7 linked regions of the Mus musculus genome follow. The protein of the gene in region 4 purifies or fractionates together with the protein of the main gene of each other region. This does not show direct contact. Links are inferred from orthologs where the notes say so. Each region holds a gene or a part of one and is shown on either strand. Other genes may lie near its edges.

Region 1 (4,265 bases), on a different chromosome or scaffold from region 4:
CTAAAGCCTGCCATTGCAACCCTGTGTAGGAGGAAGACCTCTAAAGACTCACAAAAATCTAACTAAATTTACAACTGATGGAGTAAGACCATCTCTCAGACAAAAGGACTTAGTAACACACCCACATAAACAATGCTAACAGCAAGGAGACAGCATGCACAGAGGTGGATGGGTAAGGAAAGAGCTGGTTTAAGAAAGAGATATTCTAGCTTATTGGACACACTCCAAGGAAGGATGGAGACACCAACAGTCATGGTCTTTTTGTGAAGAATGGATCTGCTGGGCTACCTCAGCAAGCAAGCGAACACCCTTTAAACTTCCTGTCTCTCCTGATCTGATCCCTTGCTTGCTAACCAGCTTGTGATTAATACCTTAGCTTTCAAAAGGAAAAGAGAAAGAAAGACCGGCCCCTAACCCCCCCCAGAGCAATCCAACAAAAAACTAGAGTTTTTAGACAGTGACAGAAGATGTGCAGATGTGGAAGGAAAAATGGGAGACAAAAGCAGTCAGCTCCCTTCCTTTTGAGGGAAAAATTGCAGTCAATTTCAAAGTTTTCTGTGAACAATGAATGTGGACCGTCTCAGATCACCTATAGGTATGCCAGCAAAGCCCAGTTTCTAGTTACAAACAGCTAGGGTTTGGAAAGTGGAAGTTTATGGTTCAGTAGAGTATTGTTATGTGTTCTAAGGACACAGTCAGTGGTAGCCAGCAACTCTACAGTACATCCCATGCCCTCTCCACTTAACTTAGCTATTGCTCTTAAGTCTCAAGACTAGGGCCCTGCCAGAAAAAAATAACAAAGAAAAGAAGCAGTACTTACATTAACAAAATCTCCACCCTGAATCATGAAATCCTTTATGACCCTGAAACAGTTAAAAAAAAAATCCTGAGAAAAGATTCAGTGGATTAATCACTGAAGCTTAGAAAAGGGCGAGCAAGTACAGTCTTAACTCAGTTGATCTTAGATGCGTGAGTTCGCACCTGAACATCAGGAAGGGGCTGAAACCAGGCTAGAATCACCAACAGTCACCAAAGGAAAAAATCATGTCCAGGGCTTATTGCAATTTGGGGGAAAAGAACAACAGCAAATCTAGGTGAATGGACTACTGCACACACAGAGACTTGATGGTGTTAGCTAGTACACCAGCTATGGCCCTTCGCTTTGCTTAGCCTTCCTTGAAGAACTCGGAAAACACATACTACTTCACAAGAATGCTAGGGAGGGTTACAGACTGTAGCTTTAAAGCCCTTATGTGGGAGACATGGACATTTTCAGGATTAGAATAGAGCAACTTCTGTCAAACTCTAACAAAAAATAAGTAAATATATCATGAAAGCCAGGCTCCTACAGATGACTGCCTAGCAACGGTAACTAGCAAAGCCTCTGCTGAAGTCCTGACTGGCGCCAGGGAGATGGGTCAGTGGGTGAAGTGCTTGCTGTGGCAGCCTAAGGATCTGAGCTTAGACCTCTGGGAGCACGTGGCCACGCACCTGTACTGAACAGGTACTGAAAGGGTACAGCATGCTTTCCTTGGCATCGTTTCTGCAATACAGCATTCCACCAAGTCAGGGATGACTTAAGGCGCTGTGCATAGGCTTCATGGTGTTCAGTACCAAATCCAGGGCCTTATGAATGCTGGGCCAATTCTCTACCACCGAGCTACAGCCTCAGCCGCGAACATGCCATTTAAAACAACAGCCGTAAGCCTCACAGAGTTTGAACTCAGGTGTGCAGGACTGCCTGTACAGATACCAAGCAATGACTGCATTTCCAGTTTTCCAAAAACCTCCCTTACCTGTGGAAGGTGCTTCCTTTGTATCCTATCGGAACGCCATCTTTTCTGTAAACAAAGAAGGAAGAGACTTGGAATGGGGAAACACAATGGTGGGCCTTTCCCATTTAGGCTACACCAGAGGCTAAAAGGGCTCTCACTAAGATCTGGAGGGGGAAAAAGAGAGAGAAAGAACCCATTCAAGGTGTCACCCTCTCTCTGCATATCATCTTCCATTACTTAAGACCTGTTCATGGTTCTCCAATACCCTCACCAAACATCCAGGGCACCCCTTCAGGAGTAGGCAGAGAAATCAAACACATCTGAGACTGACCTGAACTCTCCGGTGCAGAATTGCCTAAAGGGAAAGAGAGAGCAAACGATTTAGCCTTCGTACGATCACTGCTTGAAGCACCTCTAATCTCTGGAGAGGAGAGTTCAAACACTGGGGCCAGTATGTCCGCCAACTAACTGATCGGGCGGATGTCAGGGCAGGTAGACTAGTGATAGAAGTTGATATGGGATCAGTCACAGCCGGTAGCTGTTTGGCCAGTGAAATACCCAGACCACAGAGCTGCAAGGCAATGAATAGATGGACAGAGGCAGACATGGCAAAGACCGACTGGAGGCCGGCTTCGGGCTCAGCTCTGGTTCACTTGGAGCATATCCTTACCTAAAGTTCTCTGCCGTCTTAGGCACCACGTCTGCAAAGAGCTCGATTTTCATGCGACCAACTTCCTGCAGAAGAAACGGGAGACGCAACACTCAGCTCACGACCGCTGTCCACGAAGCTCGAAAGCTCCCACCTCCCTCCGCCGCCTGGCCCAGCCGGTCTCGGGAGGGCTATAAGGGGCTGCCTCCCTTACCCGAGGCCAACCAGCCCGCACGGGCCGCTAGGTCGCCCGCACCTCACCTGGCCGCCAATGCTGACATCGAAGAAGACCACTGGATTGACTGGACTTGAATTTGCCACCGCCATGGCTTTGACCCGGAAGTAGAAACCCGGCTTCCGGTGGCAGGTCCCGCGAACTTCATCCGGAGCGCAGACGCAGTGGAAACGGACCGCGATTGCGCCCCGCCCCGGAAGTGTGGCGCGCGCTGAGGTTGTTGGGAATGGTACTGTTTGGCTGAGCTGGTCGGAGCTGAGGGGAGGAAACGCAGGCATCTTTGTCAAAGTCTGTGGGCTCCCCACTTGCATGACTGTATTAGTGCAATAGAAATGAATCTTCTGCAGACAGCATGTCCTGAGCAGTCACACTTGGTGTCCCCTGTCACAGCTCATGAGCCGAGGATCCCTGAGTCACCTTCCATATTTTAAAATGGTTTGTTACTGTAGCCTGGCTCAGTCGGGTGCTGGAAATGTAATTTTATTTATTTTCTTATGATTGTAAAATTTTTTATTTTTTAATTCACATTTACATCCCCAGTGCTGCCGCCTCTCCCGGTTTCCCCACCCCCTCCTTCTCTTCTCCTCTGAGAGGGTAGAGACCCCCTCTGGTTTTCCCTCCACCTTAGCACATCAAGTCTCTGCAGGGCTGGCCTCATCCTCTCCCACTGAGTCCAGACAAGCAGAAGAAACGAATTCCACAGCAGGGCAACAGCTTTTGGGATAGCCCCTACTCCAGTTGTTCGGGACCCACATGAAAGACCGTGTGTGTGTGGGAGGGGGCTAGGTCCCGCCTGTCTATGCTCTTTGGTTGGTGGTTCAGTCTCTGAGAGCCCCAAGGGTCATAGTTGACTCTTGGTTTTCCTGTGGAGTTCCAATCCCCTCGGAGGCCCTCAGGAGTCCTCAAGCTCCATCGGATGTTTGGCTGTGGTCTCTGCATCCCTGAGTCAGCTCCTGGGTGGAGTCTCTCAGGACAGCCATGCGAGGTTCCTGTCTGCAAGCACAACAGTCTCAGGGATTGTTGTTTGCCCATGGGATGGGTCTCTAGGCTAGTAAATCGTATGGGGCTTTGCCTATTTAAAATGCTGTTTGCCACTGCTGGTAGCAAAGACCAGGAAGTAAAGGCTGGCTTCTCTTATACCACTTTTACCAAGTACCCTTCTGCCTCTGTTTTGGAGGGCATTCAGTTGCTACCCCCCCCCCCTCTTTTCCTTCTCTCATGCTTGCTCCGGCCCAAAGATACTTATATGTAAGTACACTATACTTGTCTTCAGACACCCCAGAAGAGGGCGTGGTTGCTGGGATTTGATCTCAGGACCTTCGGAAGAGCAGTCAGTGCTCTTACCCACTGAGCCATCTCTCCAGCCCTGGTTGTTACACCCTTTAAGGTTTTTTGGTTTTTGTTTTGTTTTGTTTTTGCTTTTGGTTTTTTGAGACAGGGTTTCTCTGTATTGCCCTGGCTGTCCTGGAACTCACTCTGTAGACCAGGCTGTCCTCGAACTCAGAAATCTGCCTACCTCTGCCTCCCAAGTGCTGGGATTAAAGGCATGCACCACCACTGCCCAGCTTAAGGTCTTTTTTGAAACATTTTTTCACTTTTTTTTTTA
Region 2 (2,918 bases), on a different chromosome or scaffold from region 4:
GATGGTGCATGCCTTTAATCCTAGCACTTGGGAGGCAGAGGCAGGCGGATTTCTGAGTTCAAGGCCAGCCTGGTGTACAAAGTGAGTTCCAGGACAGCTAGGGCTACACAGAAAAACCCTGTCTTGAGAAAACAAACAAAACAAAAAAACAAAAAACAAAACAACAAAAGTTGCCTCATGGACTAAGTAATGAGAGACAGCAGAGAGCACTGCTCTTGATTTAACTAATTTCCCACATTAAACAAAAGCTCTTTGAATAGAGATATTCCTCACTCTAGTTTAAAAAAATTCAGTAGTACAATGGCATTTAACATTCACAAAATCTTCTTTCAGAAACCAAATCTTGTGACCTTAACAGGCATCTAAAAATTTAGACACAATTTTTCCAACTACTGGAGAACTGTACCACATTGGGATAAACTCTATGACAGTTACCTGTAGACGGCCATTTACTATCTGGTATTTCTAAAAAAAAAAAAAGGAAAGAAAAGAAAACCACAAAAAGAAATGTGTCTTTTATTACTATTATTTGCATTAGTATAAGTTACAATAATAGTCTAAGTTCTCTTTACAGCCAATTTCCCATAAATATTAAATTACCAAAAGTAATGGTATTTTCTAAGTTTTCAAATGATCCTTAGATTTTTGTATCATTTGGTAGAAAAATAAACCAGCCAACCACATTTATTAATTTAGGCAATGTTTCCCAATAAAAAATGTAGAAATATTTAAATTACATATTACAGTGTACCAACATGAAGTCAAACTGCACAATTACACACTCATAAAAACCCTAAACATCACTCTCAGGACAGACGCTTCTGTACAGGATTTACACACATCTCACTACACACTGAGGTCTCAGTGTGCTACGGAGTTCAGAGGCTCTGCTCGGATGTTCCCCAAGTCGAGTGCAGAATCCGTCTCTTCATCTATTTCCCCAATGACTGCTCTGTTATTAATATGAGAAAAAAGAGTCAAAACATTTCTAAAATAAATTGACATACATTTCTAAAGTCTCATTAACTACAGCATCTTGTTTCATGCTTCTTAAACATGTGGAACTGAGAAGGTGCAGCAAAAATACAAGGTAGGAAACAAAAGCCATTTCATCTCATCACTAAGTGAACTGAATTACCCATGTCATGGGACTCAAGAAGTAATGTGAAGGTAGGACAGGAACATATGTAAAGAGATACTGTGAAGAGTCTGAACATCAGCTCTTTGGAAAACTGACATCTGATCTGCAGCATTTATATGAGGCAAACAAAAGTCTCCATGGGGTAGTGGGGCTAATTGCAAGCTACTAACAAGACCCTAATCCATTTATTAGCAAAAATTCTTAAAACTGTTTTCATGGGTTCCTGAAAGCAGGCTCTAGTCCCAGCAGGTTTAGGGTAAATGTTTAATTCTGAATTATTTTTTGTACATAGACCCAGGAGGCACCGTAATCATCAGTCCACACACCCCCAGTGTTTCATCAGTACTGCTGTGGTCAGAGGACCTGGCCCTCTGCTCTGGATCACTCTTTATAACTCACGTTATAATCTAAGCCAAAAGTCATCTCCAGAGACTATTTTATAGATTGTAAACACAATTTTAATTAAGGATCAGTTGATCATATTTACCAAAATACAGTTTTCAGATAAAGTTAAGTGCCTAGAGCATGTGTTCATTTTAAAATAAGTGTACAGTATTAATAAATTAATCTTAAGCATATCCACAAAGTAAGTTCAGTGTCTCTTCCCTACATCTTACGGAGCCCTTCAAACCACCTAGTTACTAACGTCTTTTGCTGTCCTCTAGTCATATTTTGACTATTCATAGTATTTAAACTTAAATGTTAGCCACAGGAGGTAGATTACATGTATAATGCTAACACCTGGGAAGCTAAAGGAAAATGAAGTAAATCTGGGTTGGTAACAAGTTCCAGGTCAGCCTGGTTATCCTCAGAAACCAAAACCAAACAAACAAACTACATAACCCCAAAATCAATTTTTAAATTAGTTCTTTGGTCACCAGCCGCTTTTCAAACACACCACAGCTATACAAAGCAAGTAGCTGTAACAGTGGAAAATGCTGAGGCGTGAGGCTTCCCATCATTAGAAAAAGTGACTGTGAAGAGCACTGCTCGAAATGGTTACAGCCTTTCTCAAACTACACTGTCAGGGTCCTAATTCAACAAAACAATAGGTGCATCGTGGCACACATTAAGTACATCCACTACACTAAAAATAGTAACAGTTAAATGAGCGTGGACCATTTAAAATAATTCAAATGGGAGATTTTTTAAAAGATATTTTCCAAATCGTTAAGAAGCCTCTTTAAGAAATGTGATGAAAAAGCAGGGCCCTTTGTGGACATATCTGGGCACACACAATGATGGTTTAGGCTACTAGGAGGCTGCGGTTGTAGGGGAACCTAAAGTTGAAAGTCAGTCTGAGCAACTTAGGAAGGTCTGGTCTCAAGATGTAAAAAGAGAGACCGCAGCTCAGTAGTAGACTGCCTGTTCCCATGTACAAGATTCTAGGTTCAAACCCCGATTCTCAAATAAGTAAAGACACAGGAAATCTCAGTAGGCAACTGTTTGTGAGATCACTTTAGTTGACCCCTGAGGCATCTAAACATACAGCATTTAGAATTATATATAAGATAAGCTCTACCTACAAAACAAGTTAAGTGCACAATTCTATGATACATATGGCATCATGTATGTTGGAGAAACTCTCTCTTCCATAAAGCAAACATACCAGTAGCACAAATGTACTCAAAATGACTTATGTACTTACACATTGTCGCCCCTCACAATGTATAACCCCAACACCACTTGTTCTACTCCCTGTGAAGAGCTGAACACCCGCTCATGGCTTTCATCCAAAATCAAGTTAATGGTCTGGTCAAAACCTTTTAGTGTTCCC
Region 3 (3,500 bases), on a different chromosome or scaffold from region 4:
CTTACTGTGTGGTTGTGGATGCCTAAGCTCATGTGCTATATCTCAACAGATCTCCACAGCAGCCTTATCATATGCCTGGTAGAAAAGGGTATGGTACCTGGAGTGGAGTGAAGGCCACACTGGAGGCAGTCCCTGAGGAGCGGTCACGAATTGTTGACTTCCCACCATACACCACGCTCTGTTTCTGTAAGGTCCGCTGTAGGGAAAGGGGAGGCTGGGATCCAGGCTCACTGACCTCCATATCCCACCTGCCTCCCATTCTCATGGGCCCAATCCATACCTGCAGTGTCTTGGAGATCCTGGCCTTGGTGGCCTCATTCACCTGGGTCTGCCGCACACGCCCACTGCCTGACTTGCCCAAGTGGCCCAGGCTAAAGCCCAGGTCTTCCTGATAGGCATCCTCCTCAATCTGGTGAGACGAGAGCAACCTGCGGTTAAGAAGCTGGGTACATCCAGCCAGTCCCCTGAGGCAGTCACCTGAGAACCCAATCAGCCAGTCTCATGGACACCACCTCATCAGCCAGGGGACTGGCAGCATTAAGTGACCTAATAAGAGCCTACCCTATTGGCCAGAGTCCATCATCCTTAGCAGTATGTAATTAAAGCTCGCTTCACATTTGTCTCAGAAAAGAAAAAACAAAAACAAAAACAAGAGCCTATCCTACCTCTGTTTGGGTATAGCTAGGAACCCTGGGAAGAACTGGTTCCTGACCTGAGTAGAGTAGCCATTTTTTCTCTACATCCACATTAAGTTGCCAAGAATTGGGATGAGCCGCGCTACTGAGGTGGCACCTAAGCGGATTCTTTCAGGACCACCTAGATGACAGTCAGATATAGAAGCAGCCTGGAGAGCTGCGTGGGAAGCCAGCCAGCTGAGAGCTGCAAAGATCACCATGGAGAAGGTGGTTTAAGAGGAGAGGCTAGACAAGAGGGAGGAGGGTTGGGTAGCCCCAGATCTGCTCTCAGATTACAGGGTGGGGAGGAGGGATGGCAGCAGGATGTGCAGAGAGAAGACCCTAATATGGTCCCACTGGTACTGTGGATCAAGCCTGACCTCTCCAAAGCTCATGCGGTTGGCCTGCTTCCGGATCTCCGTCAGTCCTAGCCGTTCCTTCATCTTGCGGTACCTAGGGCAAGTGGGTGTTAACAGGATATAGGGAGCTGGCTGGGAAGAAGTTGTTTCCCTTCCCCACTTCCAAACGTCTAGCCCCATCAGAACTCCTTACCTTCGGCCCCCTCGCTTCTTCCGCTGCCCATCAAGGGGTGCAGGCAGGGGCTTCACCTGCTTCACGGGTGGTGGCTCCTGCCACTTATCAAATTTGCGCTCAATCTCATCCTTTAGTTCGTAGCCCACCTAGGGGGGAGTTGAGAAGCGGTGGCCAGCCATGTAAACTGTCCCCTCAGCCAACATCTATATATCATCAACCCATCTATTGTGTATCTGACCACCTGACAGTGTGCCCTCCCCAAGACATGTTCTTCACGTTTGTCCAGGAATGGTGCTCTGTGGGTTCCAGTGCCTAGTGCTCCTTGAACTTGTAGCTCAGGTTCAGTCCTCATATCTAAGCTCTGCACCCTCTGGATAATTGTCTCTGTCTGAGTCCTGGGCCAGGCAGAATCCCTGTATTCTCTAGTCAACAGACAGCGTGTCATCTCCACTGCCTTACTTCCACACCACAGATCCCCCTGGCCTCTTAGAACAGACCCCAGCTAGCCTGCTTCTCAGTGCCTCTACAGCAGCCAGAGGCCCTCAAAGGTTGTACACATTATCTGCTCCTGGAAGCAGAAGGCTCCTCTCCCTGCTGGGGTTCACTCAACTCTGGCCTCAAGATCTTTGTACTCACTATTCACTCTGTCTGGAGCACTCTTCCAAGTGGATAGCACAAGTAGCCACACGACTGACTATAACTTCACTCAAGCCCAAATTAAAACGTCCTCAGAAGTTTTTCTTCACATTCTCTGTCATCAGAGTCTAAGCTTCCTAACCCCACAGCCCCCCTGATTGCCCCTGGCATTCACAAAGCACCACTGAACCCACTACAGACTTTTCAGAACTACTGCCTAGTTGTTTTGGTCCCAGCTAGAACATAAATGCTGTGTGACACAGCAACCTCCAATCCTAGCTAGCAGCTGGAGCAGGAGGATCAAAACTCGTTCAAGGCTTTCCTGGACTAGAGATAAGACATGTCTCACAAAAGGGTGAGGGTGAGCTGAGGATGTATAGATCTTATAGATGTATGTTCAGTGGTACAGATCAGTTGTCTAGAACACGTAGAGTCCTAGGTTCAATCCCAGTATACCCACCACACACACACAAAAGCCACTGAGGCAGACCTTTGACATCTATATAACCCCCTGCTGTACTGCCTTGTTTAGAAAGTGGCAAAAGGCAAAACCAAAGACTGAACCTCTGACCTGGGCTATGATGTAATTTCTAGCAGGGAAATGCACACAGTATTGTTTCTTAAGCCCACACAGAAAAATAGATGGTATCACTGGAATCATGTCCCTGCTAGTACAGGACAGGTCCTACTATGGTAGGCAAAATACTGTCCCTTCCAACACAGGGCTACACCTTGGTGTCAGGTGTCCTGGTCTCTAGGATCTGTGACTACATTTTACATGGCAGAGGATCTTTGCACAAAAAGCCAAAGATCTGGTATCATGGCTTCTACACCAACACCTCACCTATCTCCTGAGACAGGGTCTCTCACTGGAACTTACTGATTTGGTTGCCAGGCCCACAAGCTCCAAATGCCCTCCTGCCTTCACCTTCCCAGAGCTGGGGTTAGTTACTGATGTGAAGTACTCTGCCTGCTTTCTTTTTTCCCTTAACCTGAGTTAGGAATTGAACTCAAGTTCTCATGCTTGCATGCAGGAACTGAAGTGATGGAGCCGCATCTCCAGCCCTGGGCTTTTTTTCTTTTCAAACACAGGATTTCACTATGCAGCCCAGTCTGGCCTGAAACTTATATAACCCAGACTGCCTCAAACTAATGATCTTCCCACCTCTGTCTCTCAAGTATTGATGTTAAAGAGGCCTAGCCAACTTTTATATGAAGCTACTCCATCTATAGTGAGTTGTCATAACTGATACAGAGCTGAGAATGTGATGGCCTCAGTAGGGGTTGCAGACAGACACATCTGTCTGCTAGTCAGAAGAGGTCTCTGAAGTAGCATCTTCCCATGAAAAGACCCCAAGCACCAGGGACAGATGCCTGTCCTCTCCTCACCTTCCCTTCTGTGCTCTCATGGAAGCTGTCCACACGAGCTGCCAGTGTACACTTGGCAGCCACTAGGCGGGCCGCCTTCCGCCGGAGATCCTGGAGCAATGGCAAGGAGAAAGGAAACTGAACCTCTAGAGAAGGTAACAGCCACTACAATAGTCACTCCTCATCTAGGGCAGCCATACCCCAGACTCTGGGAGGTAAGCCTCATACCCGTGGGCTCTTCTAATAACAGCCTCTTGAGGGGTACACTCTGGCTGCCCCCCAGTTTCC
Region 4 (3,228 bases):
CTCCAGGGTGGTACTGTATCTGAACACCTGCAAACACAGCACAGCCCGTGGTTCAGGCAGACACGCCCCAGCATGTGCGTGTCCTGCGCAGGCACAGCTGAGCCATTCTGGTCTCAGAGACTCACGTGACAAAATCGCCTGGGCATCCCACCTCTGTAAACGGCCATCCACTGAACACAGGTGAGGGCCACTCTTGCCACCCTCTTAAGCACCCCAAGGAAAGCAGCCATCCTCCCAAATGCTACTGTGGCCACCACCAACCAAGAGGCAGCGGCTCAGAGCGACCAAGCCACGAGGCAGCCTGAGCGCCTCGCAAGGTTTGCCGCTGTCAGCCCTCATGGGCTCCAGCGCTGAGCACTGCCTATCGGGCAGCCCACCCTGAAGACCCCCTTCTTCAAAAAGCATACCTTAAAATCAGGGTTTTTGCTCTTATCCACACAGGGGGACACAAACATCGGCCTGCCCTCCACAATCTTCCTGTCCAGCTCCAGGGCCTGCTGGGCTGACTTCTCCTCTCCAAACTCCACATAGCAGTAGCCCCGGAAGTCCCCGCGGTTGCTGAAAATTGGCCTGATCTGGACCACCTCCCCACAGACCTCAAAGAGCGGCCTGAGCTTCACCTCGGGCTCTTCTATGCTGTAGGGCAGGTTGCTGACAAACACGGTGACACTGTCCTTACTGCTGTCGTGAGCCACCTTGGGCATGTCCCGCTTAAGGGAGGCTGCCTTCTCTTTCTGCTTGGAAGGAGGACCAACATCTATCGTTAAGCATTTCCCGGAGAGCTCTGTTTCTTCCTTCATAGCCGAAGCCTCTCCAGAGGCCAGACTGTTCTCCGTCCTTCTGCGTTTGGAAGGCTGCTCTGCAGGCATTCAAAAGACAAGCAGAGGCAGTTAGCCAGGTCTGCACTCCTTCAGCATCGGGCCTGCCCCACCTCATACAAACTGCACCGTCTCCACGCTCAATTCAGTGGGGCTCACTTTACACTCCAGCAAAGGTGCTGCGTCAATGAAACCAAGAACATAAACATCCACTGTCGGTCATCCCTGCACAGTCAGGTTCCCACACCCGGCAGCAGAATGCAGAGCCCCTCCCCCGCCCCCATCCCCAAGTCAGCCCTGAAGAACGGAGCTGGGAGCGGTTCTGAAGCCCGCAGGTGACTGCTCCATACATGCACTTCTCCTGCATCCTGCCAGAGGACATGGGCTGGGCTTGGATGGCCTCCACCACTGCCTCAGGGAGAAGCTACACAGGGCTCGGAAACAGAACATTCATTTTCAAGTGGGTCTTTAGCAGAGTCACTACTGAGAGAAATGGCAGCCGATGTCAGTGCTATGAAACCTGACTGAGCCAGGGCAGTGCAAGTATGCCCACTGAGAAACACAGCCACTCTCGCAGAGTTAAGAGGCTCTATGTATGGGTTGTGCCTGCACCCCACCCGAGTGCAACGGTACCTTCCTCCTCTTCGCCCCACTCGTTCTCCTCGTCCTCGTCCTCCCTGCGCTTGTCGGCACCTCGCGTTTTCTTCTTCTTTTTCAGGGCTTTCTTCTCCGCCCGCACCTTCTTCCGCTGCTCGGCCTTTTCTTCTTCCTGCTGCACAAGAGCTGCTTCCTTCTCTGCGGCCTAGGAATGAGAGGACAGGGCGTTCGTTCTGGAGGCTGTGTCCTGCTGGCTGGCTTGCTTGTAAGATAGGGTGGGAACCCTCATACAATACACAGCAAGGAGGAGACTCAATTCATATTCCTCTCAATACACGCTGCAATACTACACACCAGGAAAGAGAGGCAGGCAGTCCCAAAGCAGGGGTCTGCTGCTGTGACACAATGCTGACAAAAGCCCCAGGGAGAATGGGCTAGCCTGAGCTCACACTGCAGTCATTTACAAGTCTATAGAGGGGCTGAGGACGCAACCCTGAAAAAGCTAGTGCCATCCACTGACAAGAGAAGGAAGGAATGTCTGCGGGCTGTGCTCTGCCCATTCTTTTTATTTCATTTCAGACCCTAGCTGAGAAACAGTGCCAAGCACATTTAGGGTGGGTCTTCCCACCTCAGTTAATCAGAAGACCCCGGCCAGCTGACTAGTGTAAGCAAGCAAGAGATGTTCACGAACCACTCAGGACCTATCATGGCTCCTTTACAAACTTAACTCTTGATCAAATTCCCCAGTCTCCCCTCCAGTCCCCTTGGATGACAGCCCCACATCTCCCTCAACTGCACTGACTCTTGTCTGTCTGTCTGTCTATCTTTCTTCCCACAGAGTCCTACTGGCACCATGAGTGTATCCAGCATCCACCCAGTGGGAAGGGCAGCCTACCCTAGGCTACACCCTGGACGGAGGCTGAAGGCCCCTCCCAGGAACTGTCAATTGTCAACAGCTTCCAGGAGAGAGGCTCTGTGAGCCCTCTGAGGCTTCTGTGTGATCTAGTATGCTCAATTTCTAGGGAGTCCAAAGCTTAAGTGAAGCTACAAATGGCAAGGGGTAAGTTTAACTACTGACCAACATGCTTTTTAACTAGCATCTTAGGAAGGGGCTGGGGGGATGCTCAGTGGTTACCAGCACCAGCTTCAGAGGACCCAAGTTCAATTCCCAGCACCCATATGGCAGCTCACAACTATCCCAGGATCTGATGCCCTCTTCTGGTCACTGTGGGCATTGCCCACACATGGTGCAGACATCCACGCAGACAAAAGACTCAAAGCAGACCAAGGGGCACAGCAGTGCAGTTCCCAACCCTGGGGAAGCATCAGTGTCACCTTCATTCTCTGCTCATTCACACGAGCCAAGCGCGTCTCCGTTTTCTGAATGGCTAGATCCCAATCTTCTAAGGTCCCTGGAGAGAGAAAAGCAGAGCTCTGACACACCCACTCCTAGGCTGCAGCAGTGTTCCCTGACCCACTGCTCCAGAGCACAGAGCTCCCTTCACAACAACTGCAGTGGCTCTTGCTTTAAGACAATGCACGCCATCTTCCAAGTCTGCAATTCAAACATCCTTCTGGGTTCCTGATATGTGTCCTTCTCCTTCCAAAGACAGATTTAAAAACAAAACTCTGACTTTATAGGCTCTTGATGGTAAAGACTATAAAAACATGCCAATGCAAAGAGCACGTGAACCCGAGAGCCAGGGGAGCTACTCAAGTGTGCTGGGACTCTGTTCTCTGTCTGATCTACAGGTCTCAGCCTCACCCTAATCCAGACAGGTCCCAGGAGAGAGAAGCCCATGCTGTCTCCCAA
Region 5 (4,054 bases), on a different chromosome or scaffold from region 4:
CAGAACGAAACAAAACACTACAATGTATAGGAAACATTTACACTTCTCTCAGGAGGCTTAGCACAGCAAGGGGTGATCTAATCAAAACACTGGCCCGTGACATTTCAAAACTGCTTTATTCTATCAGATACTACTTTCTACCAGATCCTTACGTAGAGAAATGGAAGTCAGCTCCAAGGGGGAAAGGAAGAAACACTTAGAAAAACAACAACAACAACAATAATTCCCTACTTGCGAGGGAACTTTCTGAAAGCCTCACCACTAGAGAGCAATAATGAGTACGAGTTAAAAGCGCGGCTCGGCGGCTCGCGACCTGCCACGTTACTAATTCTACTACTACGGCTCCAGAACGACCTTTTCTCACCAGAATGTTTTTTGGTTTTTTTCGGGCTTGTACTCTTGTCCGTGACTGAGATGACTAAAACAGAATAAGCTCGTTGCGCGTAACTCGGCATTAGTAAGTCCTCGAAAAGGAAGTGCTCTTCTAATTGGAGTTGTTCGGGGCAGGGCCTTGAGTGTGGAAGTGAGTCTGTTCAGCTCGGCAAACGCGCATATTTTTGTAACCCCCACAACTTTCATGTAAGGATTTTTTTTTTAAAAAAAACCTTATCTCTGATGGCCTAACATTCATTGGAGCTACTACTGCTGATATGCTCTTTATCTGGAGCCTTCATGGACCCTTTATTTCAAAGAACACAGACAAAGAATAGGCTGTAGACAAGTAAACCCACAACAAACTAGGCCGCAGCTCCTCCACCACATCTCTATTTTAGCCTTAGAAGGTCTTAGAGTTTAATATCTTCTTGAAGCCCAAACTGATTACGTAGCCACCGAGTTACGAGGGGCCCCCGAAGGACTTCCGTCGTGGACAACAGTCCTCTTTCCCAGCTCCAAGGCTGCAGAAGTCTAGGGAGAGATTTCCATGGCAACACAGGCCTCAGCTTCGAAATGGCGGAAGGCCTCCCGAAGGATAACAGAGACCCTCGTTTTGTTCCAGATTATGGTTGCGATCCGCAAACCTACCTCTTTTCAGGCCTCTGCAGTTCCCCAGAACCTCAACTCCCACCATGACTCCATTGCTGCGCAGCCCAAACTACACCTCCCAGGCTGCTCTGCGCCTCTCTTCCCATGCTCCTCTTCTCCCGCGAGGTTGTGTAGCTCTGTAAGGCCACGCCCCTCGACTCCAGCCGACCTTTGGCAACTACCATTCCCAAGATACTTCGCACGTAGTACGTTTCTGATACGTTTCCGGCCAGTGACGCACTTCCACTTTGCTAGGCGCGCGGTTCCCGGTCTGAAAAGTAGAACGCGGATTTGGCTAGGGCCTCGCGTCTCCGCCGCCCGGCATGGCCTCCTCACGAGCCTCCTCCACGGTACGGAGCTCTGGATCTAAGCTCAGGCCTGCCCTAGAGAGGCCGGGGGTTCCCGTGGGAAAGGGCCGTTACCTTACGGGTCTGGGCCGAGGAGGAGGAAAGCTGAGGGACCCTAGTGTGGACCTTAGTAGCCTTTTCCTGATGTCTTCGTGTGCTGCAGCTCTCTTTGCACTGCTCTTACTTAAGTCCTGAGCAGAGACCACTCTTTCTGGCTGCTCCAAAACACGGTGCTTTGGAATCGGGTTGTGTCCTGACTTAAGCTGTCCGACTCGTACTTACTATGATGAGGCTTCCCAACTTGTAATCGGCTCTGAAAGTATTTGAAATGTGTATTCCAGTCACATCGTGACTTGGTGCACCTAGAGCCACCCTGATTGTTTAGGTTGTTTTTAGTGTCTGCCCAGCAGTGAGAAGTTATTTTCGTAAAACCGGAGATTGCTTTTCCAGTCGATTAAAGTAACGGGCCCCAAAACAACCAAGACACTTCAGGCAGAAATTGATTGGTCGTATTTGTGTGCCAAACTTAACAAGAGCCTTAACTCGCACAAAGTCAGTTTCGACTTTCTCCTCTAGTTTTGAGAGGAAAGAAGATGAAAGTGCAGCGTTAGCTTCATTCTTTTGGGAAGCATGGTTTGCTGGAACTAAACCTTAGTCCGGGTCTTTGATTTAACAGACAACCAAAACCAAAGCGCCTGACGATTTAGTTGCTCCCGTTGTGAAGAAACCACACATCTACTATGGAAGCTTGGAAGAGAAAGAGCGGGAACGCCTGGCCAAAGGAGAGTCTGGGATTTTGGGAAAAGAAGGACTCAAAGCCGGCATTGAAGCAGGAAATATTAATATAACATCCGGTAAGATGCAAATTGCAGGTCATTACCCCCACACACACACCCTTTTTTAAACAGTGCTGGGAATCCAACCCGGGTTTTTTTTTTTTTTTTTTTGCATGCTAGGCAACTGTTCTGCCACTGAGCCATACATTTCCATCTCCCCCCACCCCCCACAGTCTCTTACCTTTGACCTCAAACTCCTCCTGCCTCCTTCCTGGTCGCCACCATGTACTTTTGATGATTCAATATTCTGATGAACACCTTCCCAAACCACATAGTATTAGGTTTATAGGCCAAAACCTTCTATTGGTCTGGGGAGCTAGTTCAGGTGCCAAAAGCTTTTCTCTGTGACCATTAGGACCTGAGACTGAGCCCCAGAACCCATGTTTTTTTACTGGCTTGTTTTTCCTTTTTCTAAAAAAAAAAAAAAAAAAAGTCAATGTGGTGGTACCTACTTAGAATGAAATGTTGGGAAGACATACTTGCAAACGCGTGCAACCTTACCCTTCTGTTTTCACCTTTGAGCCTGTGACTTTACCTGCTTGACATCATCCAGTGAGTGGATTTCTTGTATTCTCTACAGTTCCTTGCAGGAATGACTCGTGGTCTCTGTAGACTTCTTGAGTGGATTTGTCTTTGGGAGATGTAACCTAGTTCTGGCATTGGTTTATAACTGTTTATAGAATTCTTTCCTTTACTTTTCTAGGGTTTTTCTTTGTGTTTTCCTTTTTGTTTCTGTTTTTCAAGACAGGGTTTCTCAGTGTAGCCATGGGCCAAGCTGGCTGGCCTCCAACTCAGAGGTTCTCCTGCCCCTGTCTCCAGAGTGCTGAGAATAAAAGCATAAAAAAGAATAAAAACCACTACCTGCCTAGTTTAACTTAGTTATTATAAGTATTTAAATGTGCACACTTTTTCCCTGTACACATATACTATTCTTAAATGTCTTCAAGCCTGTCTCACTGGGGGTTAGGAGGGGCGAGGGGTTGTGGGTTTTAAAACTAATCGCCATAGTATCCAAAAAGACTTACCTTGTTGTCAGAGGAATCCTGTTTTTCCTGGTCATTATTTCCTCTCACTGTGTGTGAATGCTCTCCTGGGGGTACTGTTTTAGCAGGTAGGAGTTGGGCTTTCCAAATAAGAAATGTTCTAAGCTATAGAAAGAGATAGTGAAATAAATGGAAGAGGTGGCCTGGCCCTCCTGCCCTCAGTTTAAAGCATCACTTGGGTTTATGTGTTTGCTATCATTTAATAAGCTGAGAATTGAAAATGGTAAGCTATAAAAAGTAAGATAGATTAGATACAGTTCTTGCATATGCTTACAACTTTTCAGCTCTTAAAGACCAAAACAAATTTCAGTATTAATAAGATGGACATACTTGTTTATTGATAGAGAATTAAATGTTAACTGAAATTTTAATATTGTAAGTCAGGGCATTTTGAATATTTTTCATAATACTTTGATTCTTTCTTTCTTTCTTTTTTTTTTTTTTAGTTAGCAACTCAGATATTGTGCTGAACTTAACAGGCATACACTGAGCTTCTCCCCATCGTCCAAACAGCAATTCTAAATAAACAAATATTTTAACACGGTATAGTCCAAAGATAAAACTATTTGATATTTGATGCTGAGGAAATTAAATGTTTTCCTTATAACTTTGTACAGTGAAGACATTGCAATTCATCAGATGTAATGGCCTCTGAGCCACTTTGCGTGTGGTGTTCCTTAGTGTCATATGGCATGGCAGACAATAAGTACATTACAGAATTGCACATGCTCAGCACCAAGGCTGCAGCAAAGATACATGGTGCAGCCCAGCAGGGACCCTTCGATATTGCTGAAGTCTCTGTGAG
Region 6 (4,268 bases), on a different chromosome or scaffold from region 4:
TGAGATCAGCCTGGACTACATTAGACCTGTCTTCAAAATACACAAAAATCAAATTACAGCCAAGCATGCAGTGCACACATTCAATCCCTGCACTGAGAGGCAGAGGCAGGTGAATTATCTATAAGTTCCAGGCCAACTGGGTTACACAGTGAAACAAACAAACAACTACACGAGGGGCTGGAGACATGGCTCAGCAGGTGAGAGCACAGGCTGCTCTTCTGGATGACCTGGGTTCAATTCCCAGCACCCACATGGTAGCTCACACATCTATAACTCCTGTTCCAGGGGGATCCAACACACTCACAGACACATGCATGCAGGCAAAACACATGAAATAAAAATAAATCATTTTAAAAACAGAAGAAACAAACAACAAGAGCCCCAGATCCTCAGGGCCATCATGCCCAGCATGGGGACTTTGGGTCATGAGAGGACTGGGGGAGCCTACAGTACAAGGCCCTTCCCAAGAAGAGCTGAGGGGCGGGGAGGAGTTAGTGGCAGGGAAGTGAAGCTCTAGCCCACTTCCTGCAGAGGCTTCCTGGAAGGGTAGGAGGCAGAGGATGACTTTTGTGAAAATGGCTGGTGGGTGGGTGGGTGGCCTTGGTGATCAGTGACAATGGTGTCCACCCTGATCCTCAAATAAACAGCAGAAAAGAGCCACAGTATAGCATCCTATGGCTAAGCTCCAGGTAGTTGGAGCCATGGTTATCCTTGGCTACAGTGTGAGGCTAACCTGGGCTACATGAGATCCTGTTTCAATAAAGGAATAGAATAGTCAAACTCCCAAATACAAGGCACAGCAAGGGCTCAAGGGCAAACATTGCTAAACAAGAATAGAGGCACACAAAGCTCTTCCGGAACTGCTATGGCCCAGCACAGCCTGGAGGCAGCGATGGCAAGGTCCAGCCTTACTGCTCAACTTTCGTTCCTCCTGCCAGGGCCCCAGCCACCACCCAGGGTGCCCTTCCCTAGACTCTCTGCCCAATCCTGCTGAGCATGTCCCCTCCTGTGGTCAGGACCCTAATGGCCACCCTAGGCTGCCAGCCTGTTTCCAGCTCAGCAGCTGAAGCCGCTCTCTAATTATGGGTGATTAGCATCAGTCTCCCTGGCTAGACACAAGGTCAGTGTGGGCGTGGGCTCTGCTGCAGCAGGGAGGAGCAGTAAACACTTGCTGAACACGCAGGGGTGGGGACACCCAGCACAGGTGCATCCTGTCCAGTGCCACAGGTAAGAAAAGTGTGGTGTAGGGACAGGCCACCACAACCCCCCACTCCCCTACTGTGTGTGCAGTGGGAGAGAGGAATGAAAGAAGTAATTAGGAATGTCTCCCCAAAATGAAGGAAGAAAAAGCTCAGAGTGAAATGGGCCAGGGCAGACAGGGAGGCTGGAGCTGGGATAGTCACAGGCTTTTGAGTGGAGGAGACATAGCTTTACACAGAGCAGCTGCAGGTGTTATAGCCACCCGTTCTGGAATCCAGTCCCAGCACCTCCCATTAGAGGAGCCAGTTCCAGGAAGGGAAATTCCTTCTCAGCCATCATCCAGACTCTCTGGGATCCAGTGTGTAGATGAGATAGCTAAAGAACCAAGTCTAGGGCTCTGAGTTCAGGAATGTTCAGCTGGGACACTCCTGTACCAGCCTGACCGCAGAGATATGGGAGTGTCTGTGCGCACCTGCATGAGGTGGGTGTCCAGTCCTGGACGCACCTGGCCATCCCTTCAGGAAGGCTCAGGGTACACCCAGTGGGGAGTGCTTACCTAGCATGTGTTAGGCCTAGAGTTCCTGCACCACAAAACCCAGGGTCATTCTGGAGTAAAGGCAGGGTCAGGAGTTCACAGTGATGCATGTATACAAATGGAGTTCAAAGGCAGCCTGGGCTATATGAGACCCTGCCTCACATCCTGACTCAAATGTGGAGTATACACGTGTCCTTTCCATACTCCAGTGACTGAAGCAAGAGGATCAGGAGTTTGAGGTTAGCCTGGATTATGTCAGTTCAGATCAGAAAGCCTAACCAAAAAACAAACCAAATATCCTACCATCAAGAACTGGGGAGATGGGAATATGTGGCTCTCCTCACTTAGGCCAACGCGCCCCTCGACAGAGCAGGGGGAAACCTGGCCTCCTTTACTTGTTTATGCCAGGTCTAAGAGTCCCCAAACTGAGGAGGCCTGAGCCTAAACTAGGAGAAAAAAAAAATCCTTTCTTCCTGAGCAAGACATGCTGTGTGTCCCAGGGAGAGAATCAACCCGCTCTCTGAGCTGGATTTCCAGCCAAAGGCGTGGGCAGCTGAGGTCAGACACCAGATAAGCATCAAGAGGGCAACGAAGCCCACGTGAGCCATTAAGCCCGCCCATTTCCCGGAAACGCAGCTTTCCTATCAATGACGGTGACAAGCCCCGGAAACGATCATAGTCCCTCTTCCGGTCGCAAAAACCGTGTCCATCAAGAGATAAATCCCCAACGGTGACCGTCTGGGGCCCTGGAGGGACACCGGTCACTCCGGCCTCAGTTTCCCCCATCTCTCAGCAGCCCGAAGACCCTGCGCGCGCCCCTCCGCCTCGCGGCCCTCACCATCTTCCCTGCAGCGATAACTTCCGCCGCGGCACAGACACACGCGCTCCCACCGGCGGCCCACCGCGCGCCCCAGACTGAAAAAGACTGGCAGAAACTATGACCAATCAGCGAGCAGCTCAACGGACATCTATCCAATCGGGACGGGCTAGGGCGGTACCTACGGAACAAGACGGACGGCCTCACCGTATTTCTACGGTGGGATTGAGAGGTAGCCGTAAAGTGCGACACTAGAACGACGCAAAAGGCCGCAGCACAAGTTACGCCCACTACGGGGTGTATGTTGGGAAAGGGCGCCTGCGCAGAGGTGCTCTCCTGGATCTGGTTCGGCGCCTAATTCGGCGCCACACTGTGGGCGAAGCTGGCTAATGCATGCGAGTCGCGCGGTGCCTATTTTGCGCTCCTAGCCTTTCATTCTTTGTTTTGTTTTGTTTTGTTTTCGAGACATTGCTTCTCTGTGTAGCTCTGGCTGTTCCTGGAACTCACTCTAGACCAGGCTGGCCTCGAACTCAGAAATCCGCCTGCCTCTGCCCACCAAGTGCTGGGATTAAAGGCGTGCGCCACCACTGCCCAGCTCTAGCCTTCCATTCTTGCCCTTATGGATCTCTTTGTCTTTACCAACTCAAATAGAATCTTTGAACACGAACGGCAGGTCTGGCGTTCCCTGGCGACAGGAAGTGAAAACAAATCTCTGGGATTTTCCTGTTTTGAGATGGGCTTCTGTGGCAGCTGAAGCTAGCCGATCATGAACTTGCATTAGACCCCGACTCGGCTTCTCCACTGCTGGATGGCCACTGTGGGCCATCAAGCTTTAATCCTTGCTTTAAAAAAAATCATTATCATTTTGGGAGGAACATAGTGTTTCTCTGTACATCCCTAGCTGGCCTTGAACACACAATGTAGACCAGGCTGGTATCGACCTTCCAGAGATCCTAGTGAGTGCTGGGATTGCAGGTGTGCACCACCATGGTTTAATGTGTCTTCTTGAGCTACAAATTCAGGTTCTCATGCTTGCCCAGTAGGGGTGCCAAAGAATGATATTCCGGACTCAAATAGTATGAAAACTCAAAGAGTGTCTTATTATGCAGAAGTTGAGCATGCTGGAGTCTCGAATTACCAAAATAGACACCCATGTTAACTTGGAGGTTTGATTTAAAGCACATTAGGAAATTCCGGGGCAGGTGACCTCTATGTTAATCTGTGAGGTCCATCTCTATGGACGTTCCATGGCAGGGCTGCGGGGGCTGGAAACTTACTGGGGAGGTCTGGAAACTGTTGCTTACCCATTGTCCTTGCCTCAGGCCAGGTGGTGGGGCAGCTTCTGAGGCCTGGACTTGTCTGGAATTGGCCAGTTCTTGGAAACAGATTTAGGCCACCTCTCCTTAACTGCCAGTTTGAAGCTTGTCATGAAGTCAGCCTAGCCTTCTCATCAGGAAGCATTTTTACCCATGGAGCCATCTCCTAGCCCTTCTATTTATTTTTATTTTCTTTGGCTACTGGTTATGGAATCAGAGCTCCACCCTGAGCTGTCCCAAGCAGGACAGCTGTTTGACCAAGCTGCTGAAAGGCCCTGGTACAGAATGTTAGCGATGAGTTCACTTGTTGGGATCCTCTGACCCGGGAGACTCCCTTGGCACACTCCCCAGGGCTCTTCTAAGTGATGGAGTGAGACTCCCGCACTAAGACTGCAGCTCA
Region 7 (4,198 bases), on a different chromosome or scaffold from region 4:
TTAAGGGATGCACTGCTATCAACACCACTTAGCTAATCATCTTTCAAAGTATTATCATCCTCCAGGATATGAGAGAGGTCATGGAAGGTAACAAAACTTACAACCAATAAACTGAAGGTCAGCCCAGATCTGCATGACTCCCAGAAGCATCAACTATTATTTTTAAAATATTGATTTTTATTATTTGTGTGTATGTGCATGTAGTTACCCACAGAGACCAGAAGAGGGCATCAGATCACTTGCAGCCAGAGTTCTAGGTAGGTGTGAATCACCTAATGTAGTTGCTGGAAACTGAACTCTTATTTTTCAGGGAGAGCAACAAGTTTTGTTTTGTTTTAAAGATTTATTTATTATTATATCTAAGTACACTGTAGCTGTCTTCAGACACTACAGAAGAGGGCGTCTGATGTCCGCTCTCTTTACAGATGGTTGTGAGCTACCATGTGGTTGCTGGGATTTGAACTCAGGACCTTCGGAAGAGCAGTCAGTGCTCTTAAAATCTCTGAGCCATTTCTCCAGCCCCCAGCAAGCTCTTTTTAAAGCACTGAGCAATCTCTGCAGCTTCCCTAACTGTTATTTGTAAACATTTACTGCTTTGGAGTCACAGACCTATGTACACATACTGGTAGCTGGAATTACTCTTTATTATTTTTGCTACACTCTTTTTTTTCTCGTATGAGTTTTTTGTTTGTTTGTTTGGTTTTTTTTTGTTTTTGTTTTTTTTCGAGACAGGGTTTCTCTGTGTAGCCCGAGTGCTGGGATTAATGGCCTGCGCCACCACACCCGGCTTCTTCTTCTTTTTTAAAAAATTGGATATTTTCTTTATTTACATTTCAAATGTTATCCCCCCCAACTTATCTTTAATAATGAAGATACAAGTCAAGTCTTCTCAGTTCTCCAGCCCTCTAGCCCCTAAGCAAGGTTATCAAGGCCAGTGCTCCCATACCACCTTACATGCCCCACCTTATATTATATTTACCCTCTGTGTAACCAACTTTAACCACCTCAGATCCTGAGTTTTACTTCCTCACTCTCTACATCCTATGAATCCCCACAGCTCTGTAGACCATTCGTGTGATTTGACTTTTAGACTATGAAAGGTCTTAGTCTGCACCTCAGTCTGGGCCAGCTTCTAACTTGGCCACACTGGTCAGAACCATCCTGCTGGTCAACCACTGATGTGTGTTCAAAGGTTTCAAGAGTCTACAAATAAAGTTATTTTGCTGGGCGGTGGTGGCACACGCCTTTAATCCCAGCACTCGGGAGACAGAGGCAGGCGGATTTCTGAGTTCGAGGCCAGCCTGGTCTACAGAGTGAGTTCCAAGACAGCCAGGGCTATACAGAAAAACCCTGTCTGGAAAAAAAAAAAAAAGTTATTTTAAAGAGAAACATGAGGGCTGCATATGAAGTTCACTTGTTGAGCATGCCCAGTACATGAAAGAAAACAAAAGCAAACAAAACCCGGCTTCAATGAAACTATAATTTTCGAAGCACTATTAGGAACCAAGTAGACCTTAACGGATGTGACAAGAACCCATAAACATATTTCCAGTGGTACAGCATTTAAGCATTTACCCCAACTCCTGAATCGTTAAGAGCAAATGATACAGCCAGGCAAATCCTAGCACTCAGGAGACAGAGGCATGTGGATCTGTGTGTTCCAGGACAGCCAGGACTACACATACATGTTACTTAACTGTATCTCACTGTGTAACTCCGGATGGCCCTGGACATATGTAGACCAAGCTGTCCTTGAACTCACACCTCTGCGTTCAGTGTTGGGATTACAAGCATGTGTCACAATACCAGGCTCACTCTTAAACTAATCTTTTACACTTAAGACGAAAGGTATTTCTTCTGTGTTTTGCCTACCTACTCTGAAGTAACTTTGTCAACAACAACGACAAAAAGGATCAGGACACCCGGCACCCCCACCTTCCACCAACTCGCTAAAATAAGGACCTACCTCAGGTCATTCTTGAGTTCCACGACTACATCCTTGCCCACAAGAGACTTGAAAAAGGAGTAGAAGAGCTATTGGAAAAGAGGGAGGAACTATCACATGAAAAGGGACGGGGAGGAGGAGCCCGTGACAGTATTTTGAAATACTAGTCTTTGTAGCCCCTCCTAGTAGTTCTCAAAACTTCATAACCAACAACAATCCGTTAAACGGGACTCTGCAGTTCACGGAGCCACGGAGTGACAGGACCTGCGTTGCACCCCTCGACGCTAGAACCCACTCTCTGAGTCGACCACCTCCCAGCTGAGACCGCTTCCCAACCGCACCCTCACAAAGTCCTCGTCAACAGCACAGAAGTGCAAGGCTCGCTTCCCGTTCTCCCCCGGCGCCCGTGGGCTTTCTCTTGGACTTGCTAAAGGTTTCCCCCAAAACACCATCGGCTCCGAGCAGCCTCCTCACACTGGGGTGTGGGCAGTAAGGCTGTACGGAAAACCCTGGGGCCTGGCTGCCGCCCCAAGCGACCGACACGAGTGCCCGCACCCACGCCCGCACGGTTCGAACCGCCCGCCGCGAGCGGCGGCGCTCCCTTTTGACGTCACGGTACCCACCATGGTGCTGGCGCCACGCGGGGCGGCCTGGACCGCGAAGGAAGGCGCCGGGGACTGCGAGCCGGAGGCAGGGCGGGAGCCGGAGCGCGAGCCCGCGCGTGAAGCAAGACTGGATCACGCAGGCGCACGGGGAGCCGCGAAAACCTCGGCTGAATTCAGGCTCAAAGGGAGCGGGGTAGGGCAGAGCCGAGAGGACCGCCAAACCGGTAGAGGGGCGGAACTTCCTGTCCCCCCCACTTCCTCCCGAGCAGCCGCTTTCTCACAAGCGCATGCGTGGGCCGTGGCAGCTGCGCGTTGGACGTAGTTCGTCTCTTTTTCTGATGGTTGTTGAGACTTTTCTCTCTGCCGCGTGATTAGCTCGTAGTCTACGTTTTCTATGGGGAATTATTGGGAAGATTGAGAAAATTATGACTTGCGTATTCTTTAGTAAAATTTAAAATGTTGCTAAGAGCTGGACAGCGTTCGTGCCCAACTGGAATCCTGGAGTTGAGACGGGAGGATTCTGGTTTAGAGGTCAACTAAAGCTATTATAGCAAGACCCTGTGTCAGAGAATAAAATATACACCAATACACACTGGTTATGGTGTGTGTGAGTGTGAGAGAGAAACCGGAACACAAATCCTGATTCTTATCAAAGGTTCCCAGTAAGTAAGTTTCTCTCAATTTCAGTCTTTTGGGGTGCAAAGTTGACCCAGAGCGGACACATTCTAAGCAAAGCAAATGAACAACATCCCAGCTCTAATGTTATATATATATATATAATTTGGCATAGGACTCGTCTGTAAAGGACTAAACTGACTGGAACTCAGTGACAGAAATATTTTACTTTATCTTAGCTTTTTTTGTGTGTGTTTGACAGTTTTTGCCTGTATGTTATGTCTGTACTACATGAGTTCCTGGTAGAAGAGAGGGCTTCAAATGCCCTGGGCCTGGAGTTACAATGGTGAGCCTCCTTGTGGGTGCTGGCAATCAAATCTGGGTGTTCTGGAAGAGCAACAGATGCTTGTAACTGCTGATCCATCCCTGCATTACTGAAATATTTTCAACTAGATCACCGACAGATACTACTTTGGATGTTCTGGGAACAGCATTACCAGGCTTGTAACATGCTGGTTGTGAAGGAGTTCACAAGAGCTGACTGATTTAAAAAAAAAACAAAAAACTAGAAAAGCCTCAGTAGGCAAGTTCCAGAGAAGAAAGAGATGGTCTGAGATGAAAGGGCTTTGTTGTTATTTCGATTGACTTGTTTTATGTAAGTATGCTGTGGCTTTCTTCAGACATCCAGAAGAGGGCATCAGATCCCACTACAGATGATTGTGAGCCACTCTGTGCTTGCTGGAAATTGAACTTAGGACCTCTGGAAGAGCAGTCAGTGCTCTTAACTGCTGAGCCATCTCTCCAGCCCTATTGTTTTTTTTTTTTTAAATAATTACATTAAGTGGGAAGTTGCTAGGTTGTATCTTCTGTGGATATCATGTCTGGATAAATAGGGAAACACTTTCTATTCTGTCTTCTCTTCTTGAGGCTGGCTGTAGGTGCAAGGCAGTCACGGGACACAGGTGAAAATTCTGAGAGTCTAAACCTGCTGATTGCAGGGTGGAATTCTCTAGTGTAATAATCTAAATAGATT

The links.
Region 1: the proteins of Sart3 (region 4) and Ppih purify together in Homo sapiens (affinity purification with mass spectrometry; 3 studies listed by BioGRID and IntAct, with this or other methods). This does not show direct contact. The link is inferred for Mus musculus from reciprocal best matches to the Homo sapiens genes SART3 and PPIH.
Region 2: the proteins of Sart3 (region 4) and Lsm8 purify together in Homo sapiens (affinity purification with mass spectrometry; 4 studies listed by BioGRID and IntAct, counting the BioPlex papers as one, with this or other methods). This does not show direct contact. The link is inferred for Mus musculus from reciprocal best matches to the Homo sapiens genes SART3 and LSM8.
Region 3: the proteins of Sart3 (region 4) and Prpf31 purify together in Homo sapiens (affinity purification with mass spectrometry; 6 studies listed by BioGRID and IntAct, counting the BioPlex papers as one, with this or other methods). This does not show direct contact. The link is inferred for Mus musculus from reciprocal best matches to the Homo sapiens genes SART3 and PRPF31.
Region 5: the proteins of Sart3 (region 4) and Prpf4 purify together in Homo sapiens (affinity purification with mass spectrometry; 5 studies listed by BioGRID and IntAct, counting the BioPlex papers as one, with this or other methods). This does not show direct contact. The link is inferred for Mus musculus from reciprocal best matches to the Homo sapiens genes SART3 and PRPF4.
Region 6: the proteins of Sart3 (region 4) and Lsm4 purify together in Homo sapiens (affinity purification with mass spectrometry; 4 studies listed by BioGRID and IntAct, counting the BioPlex papers as one, with this or other methods). This does not show direct contact. The link is inferred for Mus musculus from reciprocal best matches to the Homo sapiens genes SART3 and LSM4.
Region 7: the proteins of Sart3 (region 4) and Lsm2 purify together in Homo sapiens (affinity purification with mass spectrometry; 3 studies listed by BioGRID and IntAct, counting the BioPlex papers as one, with this or other methods). This does not show direct contact. The link is inferred for Mus musculus from reciprocal best matches to the Homo sapiens genes SART3 and LSM2.

The regions. Positions count from the first base shown.
Region 1 is NC_000070.6:119,317,724-119,321,988, forward strand, and holds the start of Ppih (peptidyl-prolyl cis-trans isomerase H), read right to left. Parts: upstream 2,801-4,265; 5' UTR 2,752-2,800; coding exon 2,686-2,751; intron 2,511-2,685; coding exon 2,446-2,510; intron 2,131-2,445; coding exon 2,107-2,130; intron 1,842-2,106; coding exon 1,797-1,841; intron 864-1,796; coding exon 821-863; intron 1-820. UniProt on the Homo sapiens protein: PPIase that catalyzes the cis-trans isomerization of proline imidic peptide bonds in oligopeptides and may therefore assist protein folding. Participates in pre-mRNA splicing.
Region 2 is NC_000072.6:18,851,635-18,854,552, reverse strand, and holds the end of Lsm8 (LSM8 homolog, U6 small nuclear RNA associated), read right to left. Parts: intron 2,918-2,918; coding exon 2,790-2,917; intron 953-2,789; coding exon 862-952; 3' UTR 501-861; downstream 1-500. UniProt on the Homo sapiens protein: Plays a role in pre-mRNA splicing as component of the U4/U6-U5 tri-snRNP complex that is involved in spliceosome assembly, and as component of the precatalytic spliceosome (spliceosome B complex).
Region 3 is NC_000073.6:3,636,485-3,639,984, reverse strand, and holds part of Prpf31 (U4/U6 small nuclear ribonucleoprotein Prp31), read right to left. Parts: exon of another isoform or gene 3,324-3,500; coding exon 3,234-3,323; exon of another isoform or gene 1,355-3,233; coding exon 1,227-1,354; exon of another isoform or gene 1,128-1,226; coding exon 1,055-1,127; exon of another isoform or gene 410-1,054; coding exon 281-409; exon of another isoform or gene 197-280; coding exon 98-196; exon of another isoform or gene 50-97; intron 1-49. UniProt on the Homo sapiens protein: Involved in pre-mRNA splicing as component of the spliceosome. Required for the assembly of the U4/U5/U6 tri-snRNP complex, one of the building blocks of the spliceosome.
Region 4 is NC_000071.6:113,745,173-113,748,400, forward strand, and holds part of Sart3 (squamous cell carcinoma antigen recognized by T-cells 3), read right to left. Parts: intron 2,828-3,228; coding exon 2,751-2,827; intron 1,621-2,750; coding exon 1,452-1,620; intron 860-1,451; coding exon 408-859; intron 28-407; coding exon 1-27. UniProt on the Homo sapiens protein: U6 snRNP-binding protein that functions as a recycling factor of the splicing machinery. Promotes the initial reassembly of U4 and U6 snRNPs following their ejection from the spliceosome during its maturation.
Region 5 is NC_000070.6:62,407,529-62,411,582, forward strand, and holds the start of Prpf4 (U4/U6 small nuclear ribonucleoprotein Prp4), read left to right. Parts: upstream 1-1,254; 5' UTR 1,255-1,346; coding exon 1,347-1,373; intron 1,374-2,046; coding exon 2,047-2,224; intron 2,225-4,054. UniProt on the Homo sapiens protein: Plays a role in pre-mRNA splicing as component of the U4/U6-U5 tri-snRNP complex that is involved in spliceosome assembly, and as component of the precatalytic spliceosome (spliceosome B complex).
Region 6 is NC_000074.6:70,671,763-70,676,030, reverse strand, and holds the start of Lsm4 (U6 snRNA-associated Sm-like protein LSm4), read right to left. Parts: upstream 2,801-4,268; 5' UTR 2,577-2,800; coding exon 2,574-2,576; intron 1-2,573. UniProt on the Homo sapiens protein: Plays a role in pre-mRNA splicing as component of the U4/U6-U5 tri-snRNP complex that is involved in spliceosome assembly, and as component of the precatalytic spliceosome (spliceosome B complex).
Region 7 is NC_000083.6:34,980,456-34,984,653, reverse strand, and holds the start of Lsm2 (U6 snRNA-associated Sm-like protein LSm2), read right to left. Parts: upstream 2,801-4,198; 5' UTR 2,572-2,800; coding exon 2,569-2,571; intron 2,525-2,568; exon of another isoform or gene 2,398-2,524; coding exon of another isoform or gene 2,287-2,397; intron 2,035-2,286; coding exon 1,967-2,034; intron 1-1,966. UniProt on the Homo sapiens protein: Plays a role in pre-mRNA splicing as component of the U4/U6-U5 tri-snRNP complex that is involved in spliceosome assembly, and as component of the precatalytic spliceosome (spliceosome B complex).